Styela clava: one gene and its partners. The protein of the gene in region 1 purifies or fractionates together with the protein of each later gene. This does not show direct contact. Links are inferred from orthologs where the notes say so. Each region holds a gene or a part of one and is shown on either strand. Other genes may lie near its edges.

What was found.
Region 2: the proteins of S-phase kinase-associated protein 1 (region 1) and F-box/WD repeat-containing protein 5-like purify together in Homo sapiens (affinity purification with western blotting; 16 studies listed by BioGRID and IntAct, with this or other methods). This does not show direct contact. The link is inferred for Styela clava from reciprocal best matches to the Homo sapiens genes SKP1 and FBXW5.
Region 3: the proteins of S-phase kinase-associated protein 1 (region 1) and F-box/WD repeat-containing protein 9-like purify together in Homo sapiens (affinity purification with mass spectrometry; 6 studies listed by BioGRID and IntAct, with this or other methods). This does not show direct contact. The link is inferred for Styela clava from reciprocal best matches to the Homo sapiens genes SKP1 and FBXW9.

What each region holds. Positions count from the first base shown.
Region 1 is NC_135260.1:7,447,129-7,450,886, reverse strand, and holds the start of S-phase kinase-associated protein 1, read left to right. Parts: upstream 1-1,603; 5' UTR 1,604-1,655; coding exon 1,656-1,826; intron 1,827-3,554; coding exon 3,555-3,698; intron 3,699-3,758. UniProt on the Homo sapiens protein: Essential component of the SCF (SKP1-CUL1-F-box protein) ubiquitin ligase complex, which mediates the ubiquitination of proteins involved in cell cycle progression, signal transduction and transcription.
Region 2 is NC_135255.1:1,742,182-1,745,939, reverse strand, and holds the start of F-box/WD repeat-containing protein 5-like, read left to right. Parts: upstream 1-913; 5' UTR 914-1,099; coding exon 1,100-3,157; 3' UTR 3,158-3,758. UniProt on the Homo sapiens protein: Substrate recognition component of both SCF (SKP1-CUL1-F-box protein) and DCX (DDB1-CUL4-X-box) E3 ubiquitin-protein ligase complexes.
Region 3 is NC_135255.1:10,472,101-10,475,858, reverse strand, and holds the start of F-box/WD repeat-containing protein 9-like, read left to right. Parts: upstream 1-990; 5' UTR 991-1,350; coding exon 1,351-1,642; intron 1,643-1,760; coding exon 1,761-1,900; intron 1,901-2,192; coding exon 2,193-2,321; intron 2,322-2,410; coding exon 2,411-2,615; intron 2,616-3,079; coding exon 3,080-3,219; intron 3,220-3,632; coding exon 3,633-3,758. UniProt on the Homo sapiens protein: Substrate-recognition component of the SCF (SKP1-CUL1-F-box protein)-type E3 ubiquitin ligase complex.

The DNA of each region.
Region 1 (3,758 bases):
TAATATGATGATAACAAATGTTGCATAAGTTTGGAACGAAATTCTGAATTTGATTATTATATCTACTTAAACTCTAACCCTAACCCAAATCAATCAAAACTGTAGGTGACCGTACATTTGAACCCACGTACATTTGAACCCATGTGTATATCCCCGAGTTCAATCTATATACAGGTGCTACCCATGGGTTAGGGTTAGTATGGATTCAAATATCCACAAAACAAAAAAAATAGTAAAATAGTAAAATAGGTGCAATAGTATGCAGGTGCAATTGTCGTGGGTTCAAATGTACGTGGGTTCAAATGTAGGCCTACGGGAGCCAAAACTGTATCCATAAGTAAAACGTTCCAACTTGCCCAATATTTGTCACCATGAGGAGTTGTTCGCCATATGATTATTAATCCGTCTTTTTTATCGGTTTTTCCATCCCCCGTGATAAATATGTAAAATCCTATCCTTCACGATCCTGTAACATAGCACTTTACGACAGTGAAAGTGAAGTTTTACAACAGACTTGCGGTGTGTTGTTTGGTGCAAAGTCACTTTGGTCTGGTGTTGCTACACTTGTCACGTGACGCGACGTCCAGTAGGCTGTACTTGCCGAAAAAGCGTTTGTTCTTCGTTGTTATGAACCGTCGAAACTGCGGGCGCGTTTGTCGTTTTTCTCGGCGGCCGTTATGTATCTGCATAATGATTACCGGTAGATTGTTTGTACGTACTCGTATTAATGTGTGTTTGTTTTGGTTGGAATATTCTAAATATAAGTCTGTAAGTATACCGGTACGATGTTGACAGAGCATCCGCGGTCGGGTCGTCTTACGAAACCGGTACCGGTACGGTACCGTACGCAAGAACGACCTAATCTAACATTGACACTTGACAGCCTGGAAATCGCTTTCTGTTGGTTTGCTGGTGCGAAGTAAACGCGATAACTGCTTGAATGATACCAAATAAGAATGTGATGTAGAAACAGTACCGGTACTGGTACCGGTACCGTACCGATAGTTGAAATCTGTATTTGATTACTCCGCGAGGGTTCACGGGTTCGAATCCCATGCCAGGATGATTACCGTATATGCGAGAAGATTGCTGGTATCCTCGCCGCTGTAGGGTGGTTCACGTAACCGCTGGTCGGTTACGGCGACCTCCACTATTAAGTCCATGCTTCCGAAAACAAATACGGTACCGTAACTGGCTAACTAATCCCATACCGGTATCCAGATATCCGACATAGTCTGAAAGAGGTCAACAGATATCTGGATATTAAGTCTATGCATCTGAAAACAAATAACTGGCTACCGTATCTAATCCCCATGGACTGGTACGGTATCCGGACGAGAGGTTGTGGTTCACCATGGGGTTAAGCCGTCTTATCGGCTTTCTGCTTCCCCGGGATAAAGATGTGAATCCTATCCTAAATTTAACTCTGCAACTATGGACAGAACTGAGCAGCATAATAATCAGACAACTTAACAGTCGTTATCTGGTAGACATTTCTGCATTTATATTGATTCGAGGACAGCTAATAAATCGTACTGGAAACATTAGGTACCTGTTTCAATATAGTCTAGTACATGTTATGAACTTTTCATTTTGTAATTTCAGGCAAATATATTTAAATAAGCGAGTGATATAAATAAGTGATATCAGCAAAAATGCCTTCCATCAAATTACAAAGTGCAGATGGAGATGTTTTTGATGTAGACATTGATATTGCCAAACAATCTATGACCATCAAGACTATGTTGGAAGATCTAGGAATGGAACCTGGTGATGACGAAGAATCAATTCCATTACCAAACACAAATGCCGCAATCTTGAGAAAGGTGGTATATCATAATTATAACTGGGTTTTTTAATTAATTTGTAATATTTTTTCATATGAATTTTTCTGTTTTTGGTGCTCCGGAAGTATACGTACGAAGATGGCGGACACCGGAATATAGTATGTGTACCAGGTTAGAGTTAGGCAATAATTTCAGGTACAAATACTACGGGAGTCACTCGGCTAGTCCTCGAACTCGTAATAGCACTAAAATAAGAAAAATTGGAATAAAATTATGGCCTTACCCTAACCTGGTACACATAATACATTCCGGCCACCGCCATCTTGGTACGCATACTTCAGGAGTACCGAATTTTTTCTGTGAAGGTTTCAGCACTCCTTTAGCTTCCAACTTATATTTGAGCAAGTTAAATTCAATTTGTTACTGTCATATGGGCTTAGCGATATAATTGGTGGTGTATCATCGATAATTGATATTACTGTATTATTGTAGATTGATATAGGATAGGATTTACGTATTAATTACGAGGGAAGAAAAGCCGATGACTCGATCGGATAGCAAACCACAGCCTTCCTACCGGTTACCAGTTCATATCGGGTATGGGATTGGTTAGATGAACTTGATGGCGGATAAAGCCATACTGACCAGTGGTTATGTGAACCATCCTGCGGCAGCGAGGAGTCCAGCAATCCTCTCGCACATAACTATCGAGTGGAAGTGGTGACTCCTCTACAACCCATGGGCCAGGGCCACGGCCCATCAGGCTATGGGCCGCGGCCCATCAAGTTGTGTAAAGGGATAAAATAATAAAGACTAATAAATATGTAAATTCTACCTAAATCCTACCCACTCCCTGAACTCATAATAGAACTATAATGTCTGAATATGAAAAATCTGAACATAATTTTGTCCTAACCCTAACCTGGTACACACACTTCAGGTGTATCCTTTTCTGTAGCTTGGTATTTTGCTTTATTTTTATGAAAAGGCTTATCGCAGGAAAAAGGTTTGGTGGCATGCCGCGATTTTTGTTTGGTTCCAATATTGACAATTTTGTAAAAATTGAAAGTTTTCTGATGGGCCGCGGCCCATAGCTTGATGGGCCATGGCCCATGTGGCCCAATTAGATGGGCTGTGGCCCCGGCCTATGGGCCGTAGAGGAGTCACCACCCCTGTAGTAACTATCCCCGACAGATTCGAACCTAGGCAGGGTAATCGGATGTGCTGTGGCAAGTGGGAATTGCTAATTCTTAGCATGATAAAGCGACGCACCGCATAAATAGGCTTACATTCTCACATTTTGGCTTAGTAACTATCCAGGCCTAGTCATTATCTATGCATGTTTTATGATGAAAACATTTTTTAACTCTTGATTATACTAGATGGTACTGGAGTAATGTGGGCGTAACTGGTTGATTATATACTATTTGAGTTGTGTATCATGAGTAGGAAATGGGTTTTTGAATAATTATAATCACCAATTAGTTTTATAGATCTCAATCTGAGTTACTCTTAGTGGCTAATCTATTCTCTTGTTAATTAAAATTGGTATTTATCTCAGATTAAAGTTAGTTAGTTAAATCAGTTAGTTAATAAAAATGCATCTCTAGTGTACAAAACAAAGCAATGTGAAATACATTTTCCATCTCTTTTATATAGTTTTCTTCTGTTCTGCACTGTTTCTTCCTGTTAAGTGTTATCATCGATTCATTGTGTTGTCAATTCAGTCTTATTCAACAAAAAATTTATTTTGATGTTGCAATCCAGGTATTACAGTGGTGCACACAGCACAAAGATGATCCCCCTCCACCAGAAGATGATGAAAATAAGGAAAAAAGAACTGATGATATCCCGGTTTGGGATCAAGAGTTTTTGAAAGTTGATCAGGGAACGCTTTTCGAACTCATTGTGGTGCGTATTAATTGTCATTTGTTAGTATAAGTTATTTCGACTCCATAATCAGCATAACAA
Region 2 (3,758 bases), on another chromosome or scaffold:
CATTAAAACATAGGTCTAACATAGTAGTACCGTACCGGTATACATCCGGTGTTGTTTGCGAACATAAATTACTGTAATAGGTAAATATAATTGAGTGTAACTCTATATAGCAATACATATTCTCTAATATCTTATGTAGTTGAAGCACAATATGACTATCCCATATTTGTGCCTGTGAAATTAGGTTTTTATTTGGACTTCACTACTGTACAGCTGTACTAAGTGAATAGGATTCACATATTTATCCTGGAGGAGAGGAAAGGCGATAAGGCGGCTTAACCATGTGGCGAACCACGGCCTCTCGTCCGTTACCATTCCATGTTGGGTACAGGATGAGTTAGTTATTTGTTTTTCGGAAGCATGGACTTGATGGTCAGATAGTGGACCAAGACATAACCGACCAGCGATTACGTGAACCACCCTATGGCGGCGAGGAGTCCAGCAATTTTCTCGCACATAATCAACCCCGCATGGGATTCGAACCTGCGAACTCACGCAGAGTAATCAGAGGTGCGGTGGCGAGCGTATTCCTAACTCTTAGCACGATGAGCCATAACCACCGCGAATGATATTCCAATGTCCGCATACATATAATAAATCTTAGGATAGGATTTACATATTTATCCCGGGGGAGAGGAAAGGCGATAAGACGGCTTATCCATATGGCAGTATGGCGAACCGCGGCCTCTCGTCCGGTTACCATTCCAAGTCAGGGAAGCGAATAGTTATATTGTTTGTTTTCGGAGGCATGGACTTGGTGGTGGAGGAAGCCGTAACCGACCAGCGGTTACGTGAACCACCCAACGACGGCAAGGAGTCCAGCAATACTCTCGCACATAACCATCCCTGCATGGGATTCGAACCTGCGAACCCACGCAGAGTAATTAGAGGTACGGTGGTGAGTGTATTCCTAACGCTTGAGTGACAGGTTGAGGCAGTACCGGTAAGGTTTAAACATTTGTTTTAATGAATAAACTATGTAGCCTAAGTAAAAATGTTACACGTGAATATGTTGCTTTCTTAGCGTAATATGTTGTAAATGAAATAAATCTGACCTAAATTTGTGATGTCTGCAGACTTCTAAAGTTTGAAGACAAAAATGGGTACAGACCAATATTTCCAGCAGAAATCTGGAAACTGCAACAAAAATAAATTTGAAAATTTGCACCATGGTTGGAAATATCTTCCTACAGAACCACTTATTCAAATTTTTAAATTATTGGGCTACAAAGATCTTGGATGCTGCTCGCTAGCTTGTAAAAGATGGTTTGAGATCGGAAATTTAAATTTTCTGTGGCAAAGAAGATTTCGCCTTGACTTCAAGATAGGTGAAATGGATTTAAGACCTAATGGAATGTCGTGGAAATCAGAATATCAGAGAATGGTAGATCTTGTTCCTAGTGTAGAATTCGAAAGAATTCTTGAGCATGATGATGAAGTTTTACATGTAGCTTTTTCAAATAATGGTATGATGTTTTGTACATGTTCAAAAGATGCATCAGTCAAGGTGTTCAGTGCAGACTGGCCATTTGACACAATCTTCAATGAACATTTAGGGAGAAGTTCCCAATTTAGGTGGCTTTATACTCAATATTCACAATTTAGTAGCAGCGATACTCAACTTCTAGTTTCTGGAAGATGTGAAGGCTCTCAACAAGGAGGAGAAATAATTATATATAATATTTTTATTAAAGAGTTCACTCTACAGGCAAGGGTGAGAATAAAGCCATTTGATGTAATGGGAACTTGGCTTAATGAAACACATATCTTGTCTGCAAGAGCTCATTTGCTAGCAGCCCGTCGCCAATGTCTGTGTGAAGTCCTTCTTAACAAATCGAGTCAGGAAATAGAAAACCTAATGCATTCGACGGTAACGCGTGCATATATGTTTGCTTGTGAAAATGACAACACTGTGAGTTATCTTCAAGTGGCTGATATGAAAAAGGTTATATCACAAGTTTATAGGGCTGTATCTAATGATTGTTACCAAGGAAAAATACATGATATGCACATGAAAGCATTTGGCAAACATAAAGAATACATTAAGGAAGCAGAATCATCAATGAATGCCTGCAAAAATCATGAAGCGTCCACTCCATTAGAAACTGTGTCTTCAATCACTGTGAGAATTTCTTTGGACAAAAACAACGTTCCATCAGAAAGTGATAAAATTGTTGACAGATGTGATGAAAATGTTCTATCTTGCAGTGCAAGAGTCACCAATGATATATATGAAGGAACATTTAGCAATTGTAAAAAGATAAAGCTTGATAGTAGTGTTGTCTCTCATGATCACACATCATTGAATACAGAGGAGGAATCGTCTGTTTTGCTTCCTTCTGTTAAGCGATGTATCACTGATTTTGAAAATGAAACAGACAGCAGCAATCTATTTTCTGAAACAGCAAGTCCTCAGCTGACAGATGATGAACTAGACAGAGATGATAGTGAATCAACAGAAGTGACAACCGGAGATGAAGCTTCGCAGCCTATTAATTCACCCTCACATTATAAACTACTTTTATGTTTTACTGGAAACGACTTCAATGTTCCTCATCAAATCGGAATCAAAAGAATTGAGCAAGAAGAGTGTACTGATGTCATTCGGCAAAAGTTTGAGTCTGATTCGATTAATCTACAAGGGAGACCTCAAGTCCGATCTGACAACTGGGACCATGTTATCGAAATGGGTGGTCAGTTGGTGGGTATGTCAATAACTCCTTGCGGAAGATACTTGTATGTGAATGTACGTAAATGGGATGAAGAAGTTCCACCTCGGCATTGGGCTCGGGATATTTCATCGAAAGTTACTATGGGTTTAATAGACCTGATTTCAATGGAGGAAATTGCTACATTTGAAGGACATGAAGCTTTCAGTGATGTATTTTTTCTTCATATTTCATGTAATGATTTGTATGTTTCTAGTGGATCAGAAAATCTCAAAGGTTACCTGTGGGATAGATATTACGGAGTTTTGCTCTCCACATTCAAACATGTGGATGTTGTTAATTGTGTTGCTTTGAACCCTCGTGATCCCAGCATGGCTGTGAGTGTAAGTGATGATAATTCAATCAAAATATGGCGATCAAAGTCATTTCATAGACTATTGAGCAGCGCAAGAGCAAAAGGTCGTATGAAGTCTGTGTCATGTTCCTGACAGAAATACATAGGTCTGAAGTGTAGGAATGCAGAATAGTATCATTCAATTCAATGACAAGGTTACCTTATATTATTTATAGTGCAGAGGTGGCCAACGTGATCGATCGCCGTATCTTGAGTGGTTCAATCCCGCATATTTGGTTAATTTACTGCAAAAATTTGCATCCAATGAATTTCAAACAGGGCTTGAATATTTCACTTTAAATGTAACTTAGGCATTAGTGAAACCGTAGGATGTTTTAAATTTATCTATCAATTCCGAGTGAACCAGAAGGTTTGAGCAATTATGCATCGTGCACTACCTCCATTTGTAACTTTACTTTTCAAATGATGTCTTGACTAGAAAACGCATGGCTCTCCCTACCATCAAATTTTTTTGATACAATTTTGTCGACGCAGACTACAATGAACCCCAACAGTAACCATACTCATGATGCTATAAGAAATCTGTTACTTATATTTTTTTACGGAACCCCGTATTTAAGCAAAATTTTTGCTGGTTTCATTTAGTTCCCTGAAACACGTCATAATATTTATTTTAACATTTCTGTCAGTTTGTTATTTTAATTTTTACCGCACTTATCTTACTAATTTAATTG
Region 3 (3,758 bases), on another chromosome or scaffold:
GTACTATCTGTCGCCTATCTGTCTATTCGGTGAATTGAAATTTCGATTGTCTATAAGAGGAAGAGGTGGCAAAATAACAATGCGAAATACTTCATCGCTTTGCTTTATGGCCATAATTATGAACAGCCCAGACAACATGATTGGGTTGAAACCGCGAGAACATCGACATCGCGCATAATTAAACAAAATGTTTAGCAAGATAAAACTCGAAGTCACGAAGTAAATCCAATTCAAGGACGAGATTGTGCTATTGTAGAAAATTTAAAACTGACGATATTCATTGTTTAATTAATAAACACGAAGTACATAGTGTTCATGTAACCGCGTTGAGACATATATAAGCCGTTTGTCAAGAAAAATGCTGTAAATGGCTAACAAAAGACAAAAACAACAACGTTTTATTTGTAGATACTTATGCTGACAAATTCTATTGTGGTGTCACATCATACAATCACATTGTTATTGGAGTCTATATGTTAGGATATATTTTTATTTTTTATAAGTGTGAGTAATACGAATCATGTGTCACGGTTATTAAAATAACGCTGGGTAGAGTGTTAAATGGCCTTCGACTTGGGCGGTTTTATGCGTACACAATATTGATTATTTTAAATTTCGTATATTTTCTTGAAGAGTTACTCTATTATTTGCTGCAGAATCCATGTCCACAAGAGAATAGAGGCAAGCATTCCAATTAAATATAATTACTACAAAGAGTTCATTACGATAAGCTTTCAGTCGTTCCGAAAGCATAGTAGAGCCAAATATATCAGTCTCCTCTTATCCAGAGCCTTGTTAATATGAATGTCGTAAACCCTCCGTGAGAAGTGCTGTGCTATATTTCATGTTGTGGTGAACTAATACAAACCATTGTTTTCCCTACTAACACTCATTGTGTGAGTCATATCTTGTTTAGAGTCTTCCTGAGAGAGAGTTTGTGCAACATTCCGTAGCAGCTTGTGGTATTCCTTGCATTGATCGAAGCGTCGCGTAGTAGAGCAATTGTACTCGAACCATTTGGAAAATTGTGTATTATTATAATGTAGACTTAATTAAGACTACTGAATACCGGTACTGATTTGTTTGAGTCTAACGATTCTACTGCACGTTTGACGATGATGGTATATGAGTAAATTGGTTATCTCATTAGAGTTTTGCCGTTTGGTGTAGCCTATAGTCTAGTAGTCTGCCTTGTTTCTGTGTTTACTTTCATTCCCAACGACAACGCAGTGTGAGATTGTTCTGCTATTCTGCCCTGTATCTGTCTATTCAGGCTATCTGCCTCTGATCGTTAAAGACAAAAGACTGAACATTACTAATCCTGCAATCTCTGAATCTAAGCATTTGGTCATGGAAACTCCAGATGATGCAGAACCTTGTGATTGCAAGCAGACGTCAATTGCAGCAGTTGTTGTTGGGGAAATGATGGATTTTAGCTCTTCTCAAGAAATTGATCAAAAGCCACATTTGTTAAAACTACCTCAAGAAGTTTTGTTACATATTTTTTCCTATATTGAAGCTGACTACTTATTGAACACTGTGTCCGATGTATGCCAGTTTCTTAAGAATTTACTCTCAAATGAAAAGTATTGGAGAATTCGTCTTTTTCAAAGATTCCCTCAACCATTTCCAATAGTTCAGGGTAAGTTTGGGGCCTTTCTGTATATATTCGGTTGTGAAAATTTAGCTATGTTCCAGTGTGAATGAAATATTTGAATTCAACTTTTCAGAAGCCTTTGTTCAATATTTTGTTCTTATAGGAGATGATTTGTCGTGGAAAGAAGCTTGTAAAGAGAGAGAACTCTGTGAGAAGACATGGAAAGGTTTGGATATGAACAACAACATGATAACTTTGAGCGAAACAAGTGGATTTGCAACTGACGCAGTTCACTTAATGAAGGTATATTGAAAGGTTTTACATGCATCCTCCTTATGAAAAATTTACCTTCATGTCCCCTCAAAAAATTTTCTACGCCCCCCCCCCCCCCCACCGTTTGAAAACCACTTTTGTGAAGTTTCATCATAATAATCTGGTATACTGATAAAACCCTGATTTGACAATTTTGATTTCTCTCTACTCGGAAGTATCTTGTAAAAACTCAAAAAATTATTTAGAATTTATTGTCTTAGTCATTATTTTTTTTGTTATCCTTTATGGTATATGAAAGCATATAATAACAACTTGGTTTCAGAACAGATCTCTATGCATCTGCGGATCAAGAGATAGAAGCATAACAGTTTGGAAATTGAATCCAGAACCAGGATCGAACATAGGTGCAAAACCTAACGAATTGCATTACAAGAATTTGATGCAGCATAACGTAAGTATCATTCGGCATGGCATCTCGAATCGCTGACTATTTATTCGAATATAATATGTAGGTATTTTTCATATTTTTACAATATACAGGGCTGGGTATGGTCAATCACATCGCAAGGAAACCAATTTTGCAGTACATCATTTGACTCCACTGTGAAGTTTTGGGATGTTGATACACTGAATATGATACAATCAGTAAACGCACGAACTGCAATACTTTGTTCATCTTATATCGATGATAATACACTGATTGCAGGCTGCTACAATAAAAAGACAATTGTTGTTGATACCAGAAGTGAGGTTTGAATAAGTTGTTATTATTATTATCAGCTTCATTTCAAATTCTGATTTTGTATTTCAGATTACAATTAAAATTGTCTAATATCTAACAGCTTGTTTTTGAAGATATGTATTTTTTTCACATGCTTGAAGTAATGTCACTCACACTCTCTCATAATCATAGGAGATTAATCTTTGAGCAAAATTACAGATGCGGCTTAAGTACCAAGGGCTACGAAGATTATAAATCATTTTAGTGAAGAATTATGTGTTTGTAGGTACGGATTGACGCGAGGCTAAAAGTGCTCATGTCAATACCAATAGAATGCCCAACTTGAAAATTTTGTAGCTTTCTTCGGTCTTCTTAATAACCCTCGCTGAAGAAATTACTGATAAAAAACCCTGTGTAATATGATAATATCCCATGTTAAATTATTCAATAACTCAAATTCGATCACTGTTGTACCAACATTCCTACAGGTAGTGGTGTATCACATTCAATGATTCATCATAGGAAGGCAGTTTTGAAAGTTGAAACAAATGATAACTATATCGTTTCAACTGGTGAAGATGGATTACTTGTCATTCTTGATAAAAGAAATTTCAATGTTCTTCAAGAGGTGAATGTTAATTTCTTAATGAAGATGTGTGAAAAAATCCACATCAAATATTAGGTACAAGGTTTATTAAGTCTTTAATGCTGAAATAATTTATGTAAACAAGTCATGAACATGAAAACGTTGCCATTTCAAAAATTGTTATATGGGCTCATTTCCCATTCCCAGGTTAGAATTAAGAATCGTAAATTTCTATGAGCAGAGCTCAAAATGAACATAGTTAAACATGGCATGTACTGAATTTGGAGTTGACTGAAGGTCGTAAATCAAATGTGGAAATACTATTCAAAATGTTTTGACACTATTCCAAAGTCAACCCAAGCTACGAATATACAACCTGTACCACTCCCAATCCTTGAGAGTTGAGGATAGTGTCGTAGTTCTATGATGTAAGAGTTTCTGGTTTCTTACTTCAGATTAAAAGTCCCAGTTTCGCCATGTCCCTCAGCGTACAAAAAGATCAAATATGGACTGGTTTAAGAAATGGGAATATAAGAGTGTATGATGCATGCGATTTTGGGAATGTTCTGCTAGCAACAGAG